3 linked regions of the Anolis sagrei genome follow. The protein of the gene in region 3 interacts with the protein of the main gene of each other region in a biochemical or structural test. Links are inferred from orthologs where the notes say so. Each region holds a gene or a part of one and is shown on either strand. Other genes may lie near its edges. The genes, in order: PTTG1, UBE2C and ANAPC11.

Region 1 (6,297 bases), about 2.3 Mb from region 3:
TGCAGTTCAATAAACTCGTTCAGATTTTTATGGTAGAAACAATGAGAAAATGGCATTTATAACCTAGGAACAAAATAGTGTTTCTGATTGTTATAACTATCAATTTTGCCATCAAGGAAGATAACTGTGTTACAATCCAGTTTCCAGAATGCTACTGTAGAGCACAGCTCCTTAAGCATTTCCACTTAGGACCCATTTTAGACTAAGATATTTTTACATAACCTCGGATATATAAATAAAATAAGCATAAAAATCATTTCCAAGGATTGCTAAATAAGTTGATTTTCTTTTATTAAGAACAGCTGAAGAATTTTCTGCAGTTCACTGTAAACAACACACAACTGATTTGTATAAAAGTCTAAAACTGCTACTAAGGTCCAAAAGTCAAGAGATTGGGGGGGGGGGTGGACCCCGTGTCAGCTCCCAGCTTCATCCCTTTACCATGGTGGGTCACAGGCTTTCATCCCACATTTCCCTACTGTCCCTGGTTTCCTCTTAGCATGTTGCCAGGACGGAGCCCCGATGCTAGTAGCACTGTGTCACATGATGGGCTCCGGCAGCGTGCTAGGACAGGTAAAAAACCCTGCCTGATGAGGTCATAAGTAATATTCAGAAACCTTTGACTGTTGCCAAATTTTTCAGGACTATTTAGGATAAGGGCCCACGGTTTAAGGAGCAGTGCTCTAGAGCAATTAATACAAGCACTTTAGACCTCATAACCTGACCAGGTGAAAGCCTAGTGGAGGAAGAAATCTTCCAACTCTGCTCAGGTGTTATGACTTGCAAGGGAGAAAGTTCTAAGTGTGAAGTACTACTGGAAGCTTCCTCATTGAAAGGCAACCAATTAATAGTATGTGTCCCTTCTATCCATTTTTTTCTTCCTTTGCTTGTTCAAAGTTTTCTTTCTAAAACATTGTCTTCTGCTCATTGCTACTCTTTACATAAAAGCTTCACTAACTCCTTTTCAAGTATCTTCTTAAAACATATGTTTATATTCCATCAAGGAACTCAAGATACTACACACAGGGTTCCCCAAAAGGAACATATTCAACAACTGATCAAACCCTCACTACAATTCAGTAATGTGGCTGCTTATGAAATGTGCCCAGAGATTAGCAATTATGTACAAGATGAGAAAAATAAATGCATAGCTGACTACGATAAAGAATGAGAGTAACCACAGGGTGAGTAAGAACTCGCTCATTAAAGTCACTAGTACTTTCAAGCAAAGGGGCATATTAGTTCTTTTATATCGGCTTTACATTTGAATTAATGCATACTCACAAGGTGCTGGTAGGGTTCTGAGTCGATCCTTAGAGGCAGTAACAATGCCAGCATCACCATTTTCTTTGTCTATGTATATGCGCGTTGCCATTCCTTTTGCATCAGATGGTCCTAAAATAGACACCACAGCTGCAGTAGCAGATCCTATATTGCTCATGTAATAATGCCCCAAAAATACAACAGGAAACATGTTCTCTCAAGAACACCCAGTCAAGCTTCTTGGAGTGAAAACAAACATTATTAGTTTGACACACTGTTTAAGACTTGTGAAGCTTCCTTCTACTGAGCTGGGACAAACACTACAGTATTTTATATAAGGAATTTTAAAAACATTCACTGCTCTCTAATCCAGGCATGGGCAAAGTTTGGCCCTCCAGGTGTTTTGTACTTTAACTCCCACAATTACTAACCGCTGGTTAGGAATTCCAACCGGCTGTTATACATTGTGGGAGTTGAAGTCCAAAACACCTGGAGGGCCGAACTTTCCCCATACCTGCTCTAGTCACTTGCATCAGAAAAATAAAAGCTCACAAGTTCATCAGTGTGGTATTTAAATATTTAATTAAAATTTGAACTCTATATAAATAAAAATGGAATGTTCGTTTGTGGGATTAACATAACTCAAATTGACACCAAATGTGGACACAATACACCTATCAGGCCAACGAGTGACCATCACTCATAAAAACACTGAAAAACACAGCAGAAGGGGCTTAAAAAGCCAGAAAATAAAAAATACATTACAACGCATTTGCATAACCACATATATACACATACATACACACACAAAACACATATACACAGACTGGGCCACAGCAAGGTGTGGCAGGGGATGGCTAGTACTTAATAAAAGTACATTTGCAAACAGAACAATTTTTTTTCAAAAGCGATTAAAAAAACAAAGCAGAAAAGTCTTGAAAAGGTACGATGTTCAAAGGTTTGTTGTTTTAACTTATTTGAATACTTTCCATGAACCAGTGGTTTCAACAGTCACAAGATTTTTTTAAAAAAAGTTACTTTTTTACTAAAGCCAACAACATGCATGCCGACACTTTTGGCTTATTTGACACAGTTTCTCCTGTCTGGAGCTACTCACTCAAACTACACTCTCTGGAAAGCAACCAACTGCAGTAACACAGCCAAATAACACCAGTCTATCCTGGTTGAGATCTTTTGGAAGGAAGCTTCGACCAACAGGAAACAACTAGGAATTAAAGCAAAAACACAAAACCATAAATGTTTATCCTTGTTCCTGGTACATTATTAATTATATCTTATTTTTAATTATGCTTATAATATTATACAAAATAAAGGTGCAGTCCTGAATCTCAAAGCATTAAGCAGCATTCCATTAAAAATGAAGAGAAAAACACCTGCAAACCCCACTTATGAATCCCAACCCAACCCACCGTGCCTTCAAAGTGAGTTCATAGAGTTCAGTCTAACAGGGAACTGTTTTTAAAATCGTTAACGTCGTACGTCATTGGTTGGTTCCCATCCTCGCAGGACGCCAGCAATCCTGATTGGCTGTTTTGCTAAACCAACAGCAGCAGAGAAGAAGGGCGCGAGCGGAGTTTGCGCAGTCGGGAGTAAACCTCGGAAAATACTGTAGGTGTTAGTTGCAGGACTCAGGAATTCACACCGTTTGAGATCCCTTTAAGCGCTGTGGCTCAATGCTATGGAGTCATGGGAGTCGTACTTTGGCAAGGCACTCCTTGGCAGAGAAGGCTAAGGGCCCTGGAAAACTACATCTCCCCTGGTTCCATAGCATTGCGCCATGGCGGTCATAGTGGTGTCAAACTGCATTCACCCTACAATGTAGATGCACCTTAGCAGATGCTGGCCTGTGCTGCAATCCAGAGAGAGCACCCTACAGTGCCGCTTTGAAAAGTTAATTTTGGGTGCATCTACATTGCAGAATTAGTGCCGCATTGATACAGCTTTAACTGCCAGGGCTCAATGCTATGCGATCCTGGGCGTTGTAGTTTTACCTTCTCTGCCCAAGGCTGTTGCCTCACCAAGCCACAAAACCCCAGGATCCCATAGCCATGGCAGTTAAAGTGGTCCCAAACTGCATTATTTCTACAGCACAGAAGTGGCCTTTTTGGATTGCAGGTCCCAGAATCCCCAAGCCAAGCGTGACCAAGGGCAGTTTGAGGAATGCTGGGAATTGCAGTCAAAAACACAGCTGGTACATAAGGACACTGAAAGGGCCCTAAGGCCCTGCCATACAATCCAGATAATCAAAGATATTACACATCTGCTTTGAACTGGATTATATGAGTCTACACTGCCATATAATCCAGTTCAAATAAAATAAATTGGATATTATATGGCAGTGTAGAAGGGGCCTAAGGGAGTTATGCCTCAGGGCCCTTCCACATAGCCATAAAACCCAAAATATCAAGGCGAGTAATCCACAATATCTGTTTTGAACTGGGATATCTGAGTCCACACTGCCATATAATCCGGTTCATTATGGATGTTATACAACTGTGTGGAAGGAGGCTCAGGGCTGCCCTGAAAGGGAGATATGATTTCCCTTCTCTGCAAAAGGCTGAGAAATCTCTCCAATGACCCAGCTGCCCAAAAGGAAGAGCCCAGCGCTCTACCTGTCACCTCCCATTCTGGGCTTGTAGTTCAGCGAGGCCCAAGAGCTCTCTAACTGGGAGTTCTTAATGTCCTTCGCTAAACTATAAATCCCATGATTCCATTGGTCTGTTTCCATAGTAGTGCTCTAGCTATGGCTCTGCAGGTTCTTAAACCCAATCCTTTTTTTTTTTTTTTCAAGCAGCCATTCACTCTCTGCAGTCACCCAGAATGAACGCTGGGCAGCCGAAGCTGATTGGGAAGGATCCCTTGCTTCGGAGGTGAATTAAGCTCTATCCCTTTAAGAAAAAAAAGTAGGAGGGGCGAATAGGGCCGCGCGCTGCATTATGGGAAACGGAAGTGAGGCCTACTTAGTGTCGTAGCCTCAGTAAAGCTGAAGGAGTGAATGCCTTCGACTTTTGGGTGAGTCTGAGGGGCTTTTCCTGGTGTTTCCGGAAGCGGAGACTGTTTTTGTATGTGTTGTGGTGTGTCTTCTCCTGGGATCTCAACTCCTCCTTCAAACTACCTTTCAATTACACTTGTTTACACAACGGACGTAATCCCTCGCTCTTGTTGTTGTCAAGTCAGTTCTGATTTATGGCGACTTTAAAGCGAAACTGCCACAGGATTTCTTGGCAGGAGTTCATCAGAAGGGGCTTGACTTTGCCTTCCTCTGAGGCTGAGAGAGTGTGACTGCTCCGAGTCCACTCGGTGGATTTCTAGGGTTGAATAGGGATTGGAATTGGTCTCCAGCTGTACTGTAGAATTGATGCAGTTTGACACCACTTTAACTGCCATGGCGCAGTGGTATGGAATCCTGGGAGCTGTTGTTTTGTAAGGCTTCTGCACTCTGTGACAGAGAAAGCCAAAGACGTTGTCAAACTACAGATCTCAGTGAATTTGGTGTAATAATACCAATCCTACAGTGTAAATACATCCTGTGTTGCCATATGTTTCCACTATTTATTTACCATATTTGTATACCGCCCCTCTCAACCCAGAGGCGACTCGAGGCGGTTTACAATCGGCAGTCAATGCTCCCAAACAACATAAAATACAGTTAAAAGCAAGGCTGTTGCCTCACCAAGCAACAAAACCCCAGGATCCCATAGCCATGGCAATTAAAGTGGTCTCAAACTGCATTATTTCTACAGTACAGAAGTGGCCTTCCCTATAGTCATGTAAAGTTAGAACCATCTGCTGCAACACCGGATGGGAGTGCCATATTGTTTGCAGCAGGGATCAGAAACAGAATGCTCTCCATGAAACCACAGTAGGTATACCTTGCTTTGGTATTTAGTTCCTTTATATTTGTGTGTTTTATTTGTCAATACGTATACTGTCCAGATGTCCTAAAAGTGCCAAATCCCATCTGGTCTTGGAAGTTAAGGAAGAACTCCAGCCCCAATTAGGACTTGAATGGGAAAGCAACATAGTAATGTCTACACTCTTAACTGTTTAGAATTCTAGAAGAAAACCTATTCCTGACCAAGAGTCTTCCTTAATTTATAGCTTTTTATCACCTGCCATTGATTCTGAAAGACCTCAAAACATAGTGGAAAAACCTAAATGTGGATATGTGTGTGCCTTTAGGTTGATTTATATTGATTTATGGTATCAAAACTGCATTAATTCTATAGTGTAGATATACCCAGGGACAGGATAGTTGAGTTTTTAAGCAGCATATGTACTTAGTGTCTCAAACATCTATTTATAAAGGAATTTTTAGAAAGTATCACAAGTGTAATTATGAACGTCTCGGCTCTGTTTCTTACCACAGTCTCCTTCAATAGCTGTCAAAAGGGCTAGTTAATGCTCTAGTAGTGGTTCTCAACCTGTGGATCCCCAGATGTTTTGGCTTTCAACTCCCAAAAATCCTAACAGCTGGTCAACTGGCTGGGATTTCTGGGAGTTGTAGGCCAAAACACTTGAGGACCCACAGGTTGAGAAGCATTACTCTATATAGAGCATTCTTCCCTAAACTAGCTAGGAGGAATTGCTGGAAAGAAAACCATAAGCAGCAGGTAAACATATGCAAATGTGGGCAGTCATAAGCATACTAAATATGCTACAATTTGTTTTACAGTGTAGATTTCTTTAATCATAATCTTTTTTTTAAACAGATAGTAATATTTTTTTTAATTACAAAGCTTTTACGCTTAAATTAATCCTGACCTATAGTTTCTTTTACATCTTTCAAAAACTTGACTGTTCAGAACATCAATTATGGTTGTTGCTATTGTTTTAAAAATTGTACTATTATATTCTGTGTCATGTCTGCAGAATATCTACTATAGGAGCATATAAAAGTGTTTCACATAGGTTCACATGACTTAACCAAGCATAGTAGCTTAGATACTAAATAAGCTTATGTAACTAGCAGAACTGTAAAACAGGTCTTTCCATCCCTGGTGCTTCAGTTCC
Region 2 (6,297 bases), on a different chromosome or scaffold from region 3:
AGCTGTCGCTTTAATCGTCCATCTGCAACACTGAGGAAGTACTTCCACATTCCCTGCATGCTTTTTTGCTGGAGTGCTTTTTATGACCTCATAAATTAGTTAATTAGCCTCCCCACACATAGATGGTCCCTAATTTTCCTACTTGATAGATGCAACTTTCGGGTTGCAAAGGTCGACAACAAGCTACACAAAATTGGTCGGAAGCTCACTCCGATCCAGTCTGGCTTCGAACCTTCTGGTCAGAGTGATCTTAATGCAGCTGACACTCAGCCTGCTGTGCCACAATCCCAGTGCTGTTCCAGGTGTCCCTCTCAGGTGGGCCACGTCTCTTGCAATGTGGGGGTCCGTGGCATTGGGGAACAGCCCCCCTCCATTTCCCAGACAGACCCTTAGAGACACCCAGGCACTGGATGGGCCCGGTTTGCTCTCCTTGGGCTTGGCTTTCTCCCACCAGGCTGATGCCTTTAATGCCCAGGTCAGCCAAGGCCGGGGGTTTGGGGGCCGATCCCCTCCCCAAATGGGACCCCAGCTTCCGTCCTTCAAAGTCCCAAGTGGCGTTTGGGGGCAGCAATCAGACCCAAACGGGTCAGCATTTAGCTCTGGATGAGGATAAAGCAAGAAGGCGTTTGGAGATGGGCGAGCAGATTCAATTGGGGGGTGGGGGGGGTGTTCTGGTCCTCAAACAGTGGGGGTGTGTGGGTCTCTTGGGAAGACTTTGGGTGGCACAATGGGTTGACCCCTTGTGCTGCTGAACTGCTGACCTGAAGGTTGGCAGTTCAAAGCTGCAGGTTGGGGGTGAGCTCCCGCTGTTAGCCCTAGCCAAACTAGCAGTTCAAAAACATGCGAATGTGAGTAGACCAATAGGTCCTGCCTCAGTGAGAAAAGGCAAAAAGATGTTTCAAGCAGTCATGCTGGCCACACAACCAGGAGGATGTCTATGGACAACACCGGCTCCTTGGCTTGGAAATGGAGAAAAGCGATACTATTATTATTCCTAATAATGATGCTGACCTCTATCCCGAAGGAAGGGAGGGTGTGTCCCCCCCCCCCCCCCCGCACTCACCGTCCCAGCTGCTCCAACGATGGTCCCGATCCACTTGAAGAGGTTTTCCGACTCTGGGAAGGCCGAGACGCCCTTGTTCCCCGACATCTGTGGGGTGGTGAGTGGTGGAAGAGGTCAGGAGTGGGGGGGGGGGGGGGCGAAGGGAGTGCCCCCCCCCCCCCAAGTAGGAGGTGTGTGGGCCCAGATTCCTGGCACACAAGTGACGCTCCTTTGGGTTGGATCAAGCTATCCAGACCCCCTCGTGTCTCCCTCCCGTGACTGCAAGCCCAGCAGCCCCAGAGAACCCTCTGCTTGGGGGGGGGGGGATTGGAGAAGGGGGCTGGACTAGATGGCCTCTGGGGTCTCACACAACCCTATGGGTCTATGAAGGGCTCCTTCTGCTAAAACAAGAGGGGTGGGAAGGAGCGCTTGGAGGGCTTCCCTGTGGTCACTGGGGTGGGGTGGGGGGCAACATCAGCGAAGTAGGAGAGAAACATTAACTCCTTCCTGGCTTTGATGTTTTGCTTTCTCTTGGCCCAAAGAAAGCCATTTTTCCCCCAGTTGCAAGGGCTGAATGCTAGGACTGGGGCCTGCCCAAACTATAACTCCCAGCATTCCACAGCCCTGGGCCATGGTGGTTAAAGTGGGGCTGAGCTGCGTGGGTTCTGCAGTGTTCAAGGCCTTGCGAAACCACAACTCCCAGCATTCCTCAGCCCTGAGCTGGGGGCCAAACGGCATTCTTTCTGGAGAAGGCTTCCAAGGGCGGGGGTGGGGGGCAGCAGAGGGACCCCCAGGAAAAAGGGCCCGGCCGCCAGGACGTTGAAACCCCCCCCCCCCCAGGCTTGAAATCCACATTTTCTAGGCGTTGGCGGAGTCATCGTTGCTCTTTGTTTTGGTTCTATCTGCTTTGACAGTCTTATGGTCTGACCTAAGTGTTTTCAGTATTTTATTCTGCCTTGAACCATAATAAAATTATTATTATTATTATTATTATTAGCCATCCCCTGGCAAGTATGGCTGTGGCTCAGTCTATGTATATGTGTTTTGTGTTTGTATATATGTGTGTATATATGCTTTTGTGAATGCATTGTAATGTAATTTTTTATTTTTGGCTTTTTAAGTCCCTTCTGCTGTGTTTTTCGGTGTTTTTATGAGTGATGGTCACTCCCTGGCCTGAGAGGTGTCTTGTGTCCACATTGGGTGTCCATTCGCCCAATGGTTTTGGAGTTGTGTTAATCCCACAAATGAACTCTGCATTTTTATTTAGATAGGTGCTAGCCATCCCCTGGCACGTATGGCTGCGGCCCAGTCTGTGTATATGCGTTTTGTGTGTGCATATATTTGTGTCTATGTGTAAATATATGTGTGTATTTGTGCATGTTTGTGGTTTTGCGCATGCGCTGTAGCGTCTTTTTGCTTTTGTGGCTTTTGAAGTCCCTTCTGCTGTGTTTTTTCAATGTGTTTATGAGTGATGGTCACTCGTTGGCCTGAGAGGGGTCTTGTGTCCAAATTTGGTGTCCATTCGTCCAGTGGTTTTTGAGTTATGCTAATCCCACAAACAAACAACGCATTTTTATTTATATAGAGTAGCCACCCCCTGGCATGTGTTGCTTTGGCCCAGCCTGTGTATATCTGTTTTGTGTGCGTATATATTTGTGTGTGTTTGTGTATATGTGTGGTTTTGCGCATGCGCTGTAGTCTTTTTGCTTTTGTGGCTTTTGAAGTCCCTTCTGCTGTGTTTTTTTAACGTTTTTATGAGTGATGGTCACTCCCTGGCCTGACCACAACGTCCTCCCCTGAAGGCCGGCCTGGCCCAACTCTGGCCCTCCCTCCCCCCCTCTCTCCCTTCAGGGATTTTGCACATGCGTTGACATGTATTAACGTAACTCAGGAACCAGTGGGCGAATGGACACCCAATGTGGACACAAGGCCCCTCTCAGGCCAGGGAGTGACCGTCACTCAGAAAAACACTGGAAAACACAGCAGAGGAGACTTCAAAAGCTAAAAATATACATGGCAACACAAGGGAGGGGGGAGGGAGGCTGTGGCCCTGAGCCGTGTGGCTGAAGAGAGAGAGGCGCCTGTCCTCATGGAGGTCGCCGAGGGGGAGGGGTCCCCATTGATTGGCAGCCAAAGGGGAGGGGTCCTTGGTTGAGGGATACCCCTCTCTTCCCCCTCCACGGCTGGGACTGCAGCATAATACAGTCCTTACGTACCTCCTGCCATGCCCAGCACTTTTGATTGTATGCATTACATGTGGCCCGGCCTTTAGTTTTAAATGCGTCCTGATGTTATGGCTTTAATGTTTATTGTTTGGCTTTTTGAGTTTTGTTGTTGTGTTTGTTGTGTTGTGTTGAGGCCTGTGTGAGCCGCACCGAGTCCTTCGGGTACAAATAAAGGTAATAAATAATAATAATAATAATAACTAATAAATAATAATAATAATATAGTCTAGAAGGCCTACTCACCATCAGCGCCATGAGCTCCTGCTGCAGCCTGTGGACACAGAGAGAGAGGGAGAGAGGGGTCAGTGGGGGAGAGGAGGGAGAAAGGGAGGCTCCCCCTTGACCTTGCCCGGCCTTGCCCTGCCCTGCCCGACCTGCTCCGGACGGATCCCTTTCCGGCGGCGGCGCTCCCTGCGGCGGCGGCCTTGCCCGGGGCCGGGGTCCCGCTCGGGTCCGTGTTCTGCGAGGAAGAAGAAGAAGAAGCCATGCCTCGCTCTCTCTCTCTCTCTGCCTTCCTTCTGTCTCTTGTCCTTCTCTTCCTTCCTTCCTCCTTCCAGGCTCTCCTTCTCCTTCTGCCGCCGCCTCCCAGTTTGAATGTTGCCAAGCTCCAGGAGGGCCAATCAGCGCCGCGCTACCATACTCCTCAACCAATCGCGGAAAGGAGGCGGGGCCCGGCGGGGGAATCTGTTCCCATTGGGCAACGCCCCGCTGACGAGGCCAGGGAAGGAGGGCGGAAGGGGCGTGGCTTGGGAAAGGGAGGCGGCCTTAAAGGGGCAACACCGGCCCTCCTGCAGGCTGTGCTTTAGGCCAGGGCTTCTCCACCTGTGGGCCCCTCCCCAGGTGTTTTTTTTTTTAAATAAACTTTATTGTCATTTTCAATACAGCTATAAAAACAATAGAAAAGACGCCACTACAGAACACAAGAGGCTATGAGTAGGAAACTCTCCAGGTGTTTTGGCCTACCACTCCCACAAATCCCGGCCAGTTTACCACCTCTTAGGATTTCTGGGGGTTGGAGGCCAAAACACCTGGAGGAGGGACCCACAGGTGGAGAACCAGGGATTGAGGGATCAGGAGGCAATAGAATCCTAGAGTTGGGAGAGACCTCCTGGGCCATCCTCCAGTCCAACCCCATTCTGCCAAGAAGCAGGAATGTTGCCTTCAAACCACCCCTGACAGATGGCCATCCAGCCTCTGATTAAAAGCTTCCAAAGAAGGAGACTCCACCACACTCCCTCTGGGGAAGGCAGAGAGTTTCACTGCTGAACAGCTCTCACAGTCAGGACGTTCTTCCTCGTGTCCAGATGGCATTTCCTCTCTTGTAGTTTGGAGCCATTGTTCCGTTGCGCCCTAGTCTCTCTCCAGGGAAGCAGAAAGGAAGCTTGCTCCCTCCTCCTCCTCCCTGTGGCTTCCTCTCACATATTTATACATGTGAGAGGAAGCCATATTTGTTTCTTGACAAAAGCATGGCATAAATTAGTATAAAACCAATAAACATAGAAGGCACACAGGCCGCTAGATATCTTTTGACCCAAAATGGGCAACAGCAACAGCATTGTCTGCAGCCTCCAAGCACTCTTCCTGCGTGGGCAAGCCAGAAGAGCCAAGCCATCCCAGAGTAATAATAATCCTAGAGTAATAATACAGCTGGAAGAGACCACCTGGGCCATCTAGTCCAATCTCCTGCCAAGCAGGAAAAGCACAATCAAAACACCCCCGGCAGATGGCCCTCCAGCTATCATCATCATCATCATCATCATCTTTCGGGGGTGCTTTGAAGGCAATATTCCTGCTTCTTGGCAGACTGGGTTGGCCTCTTCCAATTCCAGGATTCTGGGATTCCATGATCAGCCAGAAAGACCAATGGCCCTGATGGTTGGGGATGGGGACGCTTCTCTCTTGCCCAAGGATGATGGTCTTCCAAGTGTAGTGGTCCGTAGGTGACTGTGGACCCACAGTGAGAACATCGGTTTCCAGACGGAAGGCGGTCCCAGTCAGGGTTGGCTTGACGCGCCTCCTTCCTCTTGGCATGTTTCTCCCTTTCGCCCTCCATTCAGGCTTCTGTGAATTCTGCAGCACTGCTGGTCACAGCTGACTTCCAGTTAGAGCACTCAGGGGCCAGGGCTTCCCAGTTGTCTCTCGGTGTCTGTGCCCATCTTTGAATCTGCCCAATCTCTCTTCCTGCCCACCTTTGTTGAGTGGGGAGTAGAGTGACTGCTTTGGGGCTCGTGTACGTGGGAAAGGGCAGGCACCTGAGGTTTTGAGGAACTTATGGCATTGCAGGCAAAGCCCTGTCTCGATGTACTCCGAACAAGGAAGATGTACGGTATGTTCACCCTCTGTGCGCCTTGGGGTTGTCTTTCACGAGAAGACTCAATCCGTAGCAACACCAATGGAGCCAAGGACCCTCCTGACACATCTGCACGGCAGAATTAATGCTGGATTGGCACCACTTCGTCTGCCAAAAGAAGCCACACCACTGACTGAACCACAGTGGTCGAAGCTGCGCCCAAGTGCATCTGTCCCTCAGTGTGGGGACCCTTCCTCATAAGTGACAGTGGGCTGGGATTGTGCTCCCCCCCCCCCCCCCCCGACACAGAGTCTTCCCAAAAGGAGGAGAAGAGGCTTCCGGCCGGAGTGAGTGGTGTGTTTATTAGGATGAAGATGGTTGTGGTGGTGGTTTCCAGAGGTCCAGCCCAGAGGCAAGGAGAGAGAGAGAGAGTGAGCGCAGTCAGGGGGGCGGATCCTGCTCTGCCCCCCCACCCCCACCGCCCCTTCCCCTATGCGTCCTTGGGGGGCGGGGGTGGGGGGTCCCCTTCGCACCCGCAGCGCAGGGCCTCCATGGCGGTGCGCATCTTCTGGGCCATCCAGGCCGGCGCCGTGAAGGGCTTCAGTTCATCCAGCTTCAGCTCCAGAGATCCTCTGACAAGGGACAGAGAGAGGGAGAGAGAGAGAGAGAAAGCGCCATCAGCACCTTCAGGAAATAACAACAACAACAACAACAACCACAACTGCTCACAGCTTGTCATT
Region 3 (6,297 bases):
TTTCACTTTCATTGTGTTCAACTAAATACCACACTTAGATCAACCTAGTTTAGCACCTGAAGGGAGGAGAGAAAAAACCAATGGAAATCACTGTTTCTAAAATGGGAATCAGAGTTTCTAGAAATCAAAGTCTCTGTTTCCTAGCAAGATTGGAGCTGGAATGCAATTTAAAAACTATTTAACCTATTTAACCTTTCCACCAGGGTAGCAATAGATGGCATTATAAATTATATTAATATTCGTCTTACAATGTATATGCAGTCCAGGAGGTATGTTAAGCTTGTGCCTTCTTTAGGGATGATGCAGGACAGACTACAACCAAATTCCAGATTAGGACAGGATGGAAGCAGAGATTTTTGAGACATTAAAGCAAAGTAATATATATTAATTCTTACCTATGATTACATTGTTTTTATAGTATAACCATTACAGCAGATGAATACCAAGGTCCTAATGCCCAGCATAACTATACAAAAGCATTGCAGAAGAACAGCAGCATTAAGACATTGCAAAGCTGGGTACATTATTAATATTGAACTCAACAAAATTTGAAGTAGTTGGGTAGGAATCATATCCCATGTGGGTAGAATTCAAAGGCATGACTGCATTAGTCTAGAATACCAGTATGCAAAGGGATCTTGCAGTACCTTAGAGGCAAAATGAGACAACAAAACTGATAACATAACCTTTCCAAGATCAAGTCTATTTTGTCAGTAGCTCGCCACAGAGTTTGTGGGCATGGTGCTAAAATGACCAGTTCAGTGTTAATGATGTCACTGAGGAACAAAGGGAGTCGAGAAGATGTTGCCTAAAGGCAAGATAAGTAGATAAGCATATGAATGGTGGAGGGAGTTCTTGGACTGTCCTGTACCTGTTTTGCATTTCTATGGCTATTCACACATTCTGTGTATAAAGATCTCTTTACCCTAGGGATAAATAGGAATGTCTGGTGCTAACCCACCTGATAAACATGTATGTACTGAAACACAATCATTTTTTTTATACTATAATTAACTATTTGATATTGCTGTTTACAATATAAATAAACTGACACAGAACTTCTAGGACCATAAACTTTTATCACATAGATTTTATGAATTTTTCCCAAGCACTTCAGTCCATGCATCTGAGAAATCGGACGAATTATGAAAGTTTAAGCTACTAGCGTCATTCTTTCAGTCTCTAAGTGCCACAAGACCCCTTTGCATACTGTTAAGACTGCAATAGTTCCTATCGCAGCCCTTGAAAGGAAGAAAAGCAAAAGATATCCATATTTTGCAGGATATTCTCAACTGAGTCTTATTTAATTTATATGTTGCCTTTCTTATAAATAAATAAATAAATAAACCAATAATAAAACATTAAAACAATTTAAACTATCATGTTAAAGCAGTACATAATTATTGAAAGCACATATCAAAAATAAAGCATTCTTCCCCGTGGGCAATTACATATTATCAGATTAATATTTTAAACACTGTATTTTCAGTTACCAGCTCCCCGTATCTTGCCATCTTCTTTTAAACAGCTTGTAAGAAGTAAACCCTAGGTAGCTGAAGAACTAGGGACTTCAGCACACTAGAGCATCTATCAACCTTAAATCCAGTTTCTGCCTCCTGCAGAATTCTGGGTTTGTAGTTTAGAGAGTGGCCTTTAAAAAGCTCATCCAGAGAGGTCTTGGAACTCACTAAACTACAAACCCCAGAATTTTGCAGGAGGGAACAACTGGATTTAAAGTGGATAGATGCTCTAGTGTACGCTTGGGCAAACTTCAGCCCTCCAGGTGTTCTGGACTCCAACTCCCACAATTCCTAACAGCTTACTAGCTGTTCGGACTTGTGGGAGTTAGAGTCCAAAACACCTGGAGCACCCAAGTTTGCCCATGTTTGCTCTATTGTGATGAAGTAGCTGCTTTTGTAACAGTGACCTAAAATTAATGGTTGGCTCAAACTATAGCAGGCTCTTTGCACTATCTGTGTGTCTGTATACACACAACACTTCAAGCTGATCATTGACTGATTGCGTTATTGTAGGTTTTTTGGGCTATATGGCCATGTTCTAGAGGCATTCTCTCCTGACATTTCGCCTGCATCTATGGCAAGCATCCTTGTGAGGTCCTCACAACCTCTGAGGATGCTTGCCATAGGCGAAACATCAGGAAAGATGCCTCTAGAACAGGGATCCTCAAACTTTTTAAACAGAGGGCCAGGTCACAGTCCCTAAAACTGTTGGAGGGCTGGATTATAATTTGAAAATAACATGAATTCCTATGCATGCTGCACATATCTTATTTGTAGTGCAAAAAACACTTTAAAGCAATACAATATTTAAAATGAAGAACAATTTTAACAAATGTAAACTTATTAGTATTTCAATGGGAAGTGTGGGCCTGCTTTTGGCTGAGATAGGATTGCTGTTGTTATAGCCTAAAGCAAGGGTCCTCAAACTAAGGCCCGAGGGCCGGATGCGGCCCTCCAAGGTCATTTACCCGGCCCTCGCTCAGGGTCAACCTAAGTCTGAAATGACTTGAAAGCACACAACAACAATCCTATGTCATCACCCAAAAGGAGGCCCACACTTCCCATTGGAATACTATTAAGTTTATATTTGTTAAAATTGGTTTTTGTTTTAATTATTGTATTGTTTTAAAGTGGTTTTTGCACTACAAATAAGATATGTGCAGTGTGCATAGGAATTCATTCATATATTTTTTTCAAATTATAATCGGGCCCTCCAACAGTTTGACGGACTGTGACCTGGCCCTCTTTTTAAAAAGTTTGAGGACCCCTAGCCTAAAGCATCTGATATTTGGTGGCTGTCTCCCATCTAGGAGCTATGCAGTTTTCAAGATCAGGCAGACCTTGGCACCTTTACAACTGTTAGGCGCACACTGACTGCTGCGTAGTCAATTGGCATGAATCTATAAAAGTAAAGGTTTCCCTTGACATTAAGCCTAGTTGTGTCCGACTCTGGGGGTTGGTGCTCATCTCCATTTCTAAGTTGAAGAGCCAGTGTTGTCCATAGATACCTCCAAGGTCATGTGGCCAGCATGACTCCATGGAGTGCTGTTACCTTCCTGCCGGAGCTGTACCTATTGATCTACCCACATTTGCATGTTTTCAAACTGCTAGGTTGGCAGGAGCTGGACTTACAGCGGGAGCTCACCCTGCTCCCCAGATTCGAACAGCCAATATTTAGGTTAGCAAGTTCAGCAGCTCAGCGGTTTAACCGGCTGCACCACCAGGGGCCCTGGCACCAATGTAATGGCTCTGCTCTCGTTGGAACTAGCAGCTTGGCCTGGGCAATGCTTCAGCGTTGGGCTATTATTACGTGCGGATCTCTTTACCAAAGAGCAGCCGCCAAACAACAGCAGCAGCCACAAGACTGTAGTCTGAGGTCTCCGTCTACACTGGCCATTTATTGCAGTTCCAAAGCGATTTTGCTGTGCAGTCAGATGGCTACATGAGAAATCCTGGAGCCAGTTTGAGGCCCAGAAAGTGCTGAAAGCCCTGAGGCACATTAAGGGCTTTGCATTCAAGGGAGTTTGTCGCCTGGTTGCCGAACTGTATGAAATGTTTAGTGCAGACGGGGCTTTGGGGGGAACAGCCCCCTCCCCTGCCCCGAGGCAGCATCCTCCTCCTCCTCCAACCTTCCCGCCTCCCTTCCCCTTACCGGAAGTCCCGCCCCCAAGGGCTCTCCCATAGTTCCTCGCGCACCCAAGCCCTTAAAACCGAGCGCGAGAGGCCCCTTGGCGCACTTCTTTCAGCGGAGGAGCCCGGCACGAGCGCAAGCGCGCCCACCCACCGCGCTCTTCCCTTCCTTTCTTTCCCGCCTCCTTCTCCTTCTTCTTCCTCCTCAGCCAGGCTCCTTCTTTTTCTCCTTCGCCGCCCTTCCCTCTGTATCCCCGCCTCATCCGTTTCCGGTCCCCTCGCGCAGCGCGGCCGGAAGCGTAGGCCCCAGGAGCCGGAGGGAGCCGCCATCATGGGCGACAAAATGGACATGTCTCTGGACGATATTATCAAGCTCAACCGGAGCCAGCGAGGCGGAGGCGGGCGCGCCGGGCGAGGCCGGGGGCGAGGGGCCGCGGGGCGAGGCGGCGGAGGAGGCGGCGGCGGCGCGGGGCGAGGAGGCGGAGGCGCGGGGCGGGCAGGAGGCGGAGGCCCCATCCGGAACAGAGCCGCCTTGTCCCGGGGAGGCGGCAGGAACAGGCCGGCGCCCTACAGCCGGGTACGTTTCCGCCAGGCGTCTCCTGGGGGTCTGCCTTCGGGCTCATCTGGACTCTCACTGCATTCGCAACTCGTGATAGCACTTGGGCCTGCACCTGGGGGAGAAAACGCAGGGAAGCCTAGGCTTATACTATACGGCAGTGGTTCTCAACCTGTGGGTCCCCAGATGTTTTGGCCTTCAATTCCCAGAAATCCTAACAGCTGGTAAACTGGCTTGGATTTCTGGGAGTTGTAGGCCAAAACACCCGGGGACCCACAGGTTGAGAACCACTGCTCTAGGGGCTGTAGTCTGAAAATAAGGGGACATGAGACCTTAAGACAAGTGGTTTGCCACTTGTCGGTCCCCAGTATTTTGGCCTACAAGTCCCAGAAAGTTTACCAGCTGTTAGGATTTCTGGGAGTTGAAGGCCAAAACATCTGGGAAGCCACAGGTTGAGAACCAATGCCTTAAGATATGCTGATCAGTTACTGACTTGGGGTGCCCTTTCTTTCCAGCCCAAACAACTTCCAGAAAAGTGGCAACATGATCTCTTCGAAAGTGGCTTTGGTCCTGGCGCTGGTGTGGAGACAGGTGGAAAACTTCTGGTCTCTAATCTAGATTTTGGCGTGTCAGATGCGGACATACAGGTAGGTTTTCCCTTCATCTCTAATAATAGGTGGCCCAGTGTTGGAATTTGTTCTAACTCAGGCATGAGCAAACTTCATCCCTCCAGGTGTTTTGGACTCCAATTCCTAACAGCTGGTAGGCTGTTAGGAATTGTGGGAGTTGGAGTCCAAAACACCCGGAGGGCCGAAGTTTGCTCATGCCTGAGCTAGCTGATAAGGTTGTGTAATGGAGACCGCCTTTATTTTGGGCATCTTATTGCAAATTTCATCTGTGTGGACATGGGTGTTTTTTTATGATTGTGACAAATGTCTTAATGTTTGGAGAGAAGCAGAAATGTCTCTCTGTGAAATTATCAGCATTAATATTTATTTCCTTTGATAGTTTGGGATTGTTAGCAAACACATTGATATTCATAGGCTGTCTTGTTTTGTGTAGAGTACATATATGAACATTTTCTAAACAATTTCATAAGCTTAGTACTATAGTAGATATATCTGTTCTACACACTTCTTTTTGTAATCCTTGGGATATGTGGATCTCTATTGGATTATTTTTTTCTGTGCAGGGAAGTCTGAACCTAAGGCTAACCTATACAAAGACAGAAAATTATTAATTAAAAAATCATTAAAATTTTATTTCTAGTCTGTCCTATCTCCCTGAAAGGACTCAGGGCGATTTCTAATACAAAAGCAAATATTCAATGCCATATGCAACCATAAAAACACAGCACCATAAAATAACAATGAAACATGGCTAAAATGCATGCATAAAATAAACTCTATGAGGAGGGTAAACAATCAGGCTTTTTTGCAGGGAGAAAATTTTATCCTGTTGAACCACATTTCCCAGTACTGTTTATCCTTTGAAATAAAGCCAATGTTGTATCAGACAATAGGCAAACAAGAATATATTGTGGTTTGGTTGTAGGGTACAATGGCTTTTATGACTTCAGATGAACATATGCTCACACACTGGATTCATGAAGGCCAGACTTTTTGCCAATCTGCTCTTAAAACAGCATAAGGCAAAAGACACTTGCATGATTTGAGATTCAAACATGGCAATGGTTTATATAGTGTTATGCAAGATCACTTAACTTGTTTAGGAGTATGTAGCTTAAGCAGGGTAAGCCGCTTCAAATGCCCAAGAAGCAGTTCTCCACCACAGTGGGCTCCACTACAGAAAGTACAGCAGGGAACTTGTTTTCCATAATTATTCTTCTGATTTTATTTGTAGTGGGGCTATGAGGAATGCAACCACTCCACTTTATTTTGTGGCTGAGGCACCTTGGTGGAGGTCTCATCAACATTGCCTCCTCAGGAGATCTTCTGCCCTACATTTCTTGCATTTTTCCTTGAGTTCTGGGGTTAATTTAAGTAGAAAATGAGGCAAAGTTAATGCAAGATCTGATTTGTAGTTGTAGTAAAATGGCAAATGTGAGAGTGAAAGAGTTTACTGCTTTAA

What was found.
Region 1: of the proteins of ANAPC11 (region 3) and PTTG1, one has a biochemical effect on the other in vitro, tested with the Homo sapiens proteins (3 studies listed by BioGRID). The link is inferred for Anolis sagrei from reciprocal best matches to the Homo sapiens genes ANAPC11 and PTTG1.
Region 2: the proteins of ANAPC11 (region 3) and UBE2C form a complex in vitro, tested with the Homo sapiens proteins (66 studies listed by BioGRID). The link is inferred for Anolis sagrei from reciprocal best matches to the Homo sapiens genes ANAPC11 and UBE2C.

Annotation. Positions count from the first base shown.
Region 1 is NC_090022.1:111,399,716-111,406,012, forward strand, and holds the start of PTTG1 (securin), read right to left. Parts: upstream 4,132-6,297; 5' UTR 4,100-4,131; intron 2,797-4,099; exon of another isoform or gene 2,658-2,796; intron 2,624-2,657; exon of another isoform or gene 2,589-2,623; intron 2,489-2,588; 5' UTR 2,381-2,488; intron 1,396-2,380; 5' UTR 1,376-1,395; coding exon 1,285-1,375; intron 1-1,284. UniProt on the Homo sapiens protein: Regulatory protein, which plays a central role in chromosome stability, in the p53/TP53 pathway, and DNA repair. Probably acts by blocking the action of key proteins.
Region 2 is NC_090024.1:248,941,554-248,947,850, forward strand, and holds the start of UBE2C (ubiquitin-conjugating enzyme E2 C), read right to left. Parts: upstream 3,820-6,297; 5' UTR 3,755-3,819; coding exon 3,642-3,754; intron 3,539-3,641; coding exon 3,511-3,538; intron 1,151-3,510; coding exon 1,064-1,150; intron 1-1,063. Other genes in the region: DNTTIP1 (deoxynucleotidyltransferase terminal-interacting protein 1), read right to left, coding at 6,048-6,189. UniProt on the Homo sapiens protein: Accepts ubiquitin from the E1 complex and catalyzes its covalent attachment to other proteins. In vitro catalyzes 'Lys-11'- and 'Lys-48'-linked polyubiquitination.
Region 3 is NC_090022.1:113,660,066-113,666,362, reverse strand, and holds the start of ANAPC11 (anaphase-promoting complex subunit 11), read right to left. Parts: upstream 3,892-6,297; 5' UTR 3,805-3,891; exon of another isoform or gene 3,673-3,804; intron 57-3,672; 5' UTR 13-56; coding exon 1-12. Other genes in the region: ALYREF (THO complex subunit 4), read left to right, coding at 3,982-4,227, 4,722-4,853. UniProt on the Homo sapiens protein: Together with the cullin protein ANAPC2, constitutes the catalytic component of the anaphase promoting complex/cyclosome (APC/C), a cell cycle-regulated E3 ubiquitin ligase that controls progression through mitosis and the G1 phase of the cell cycle.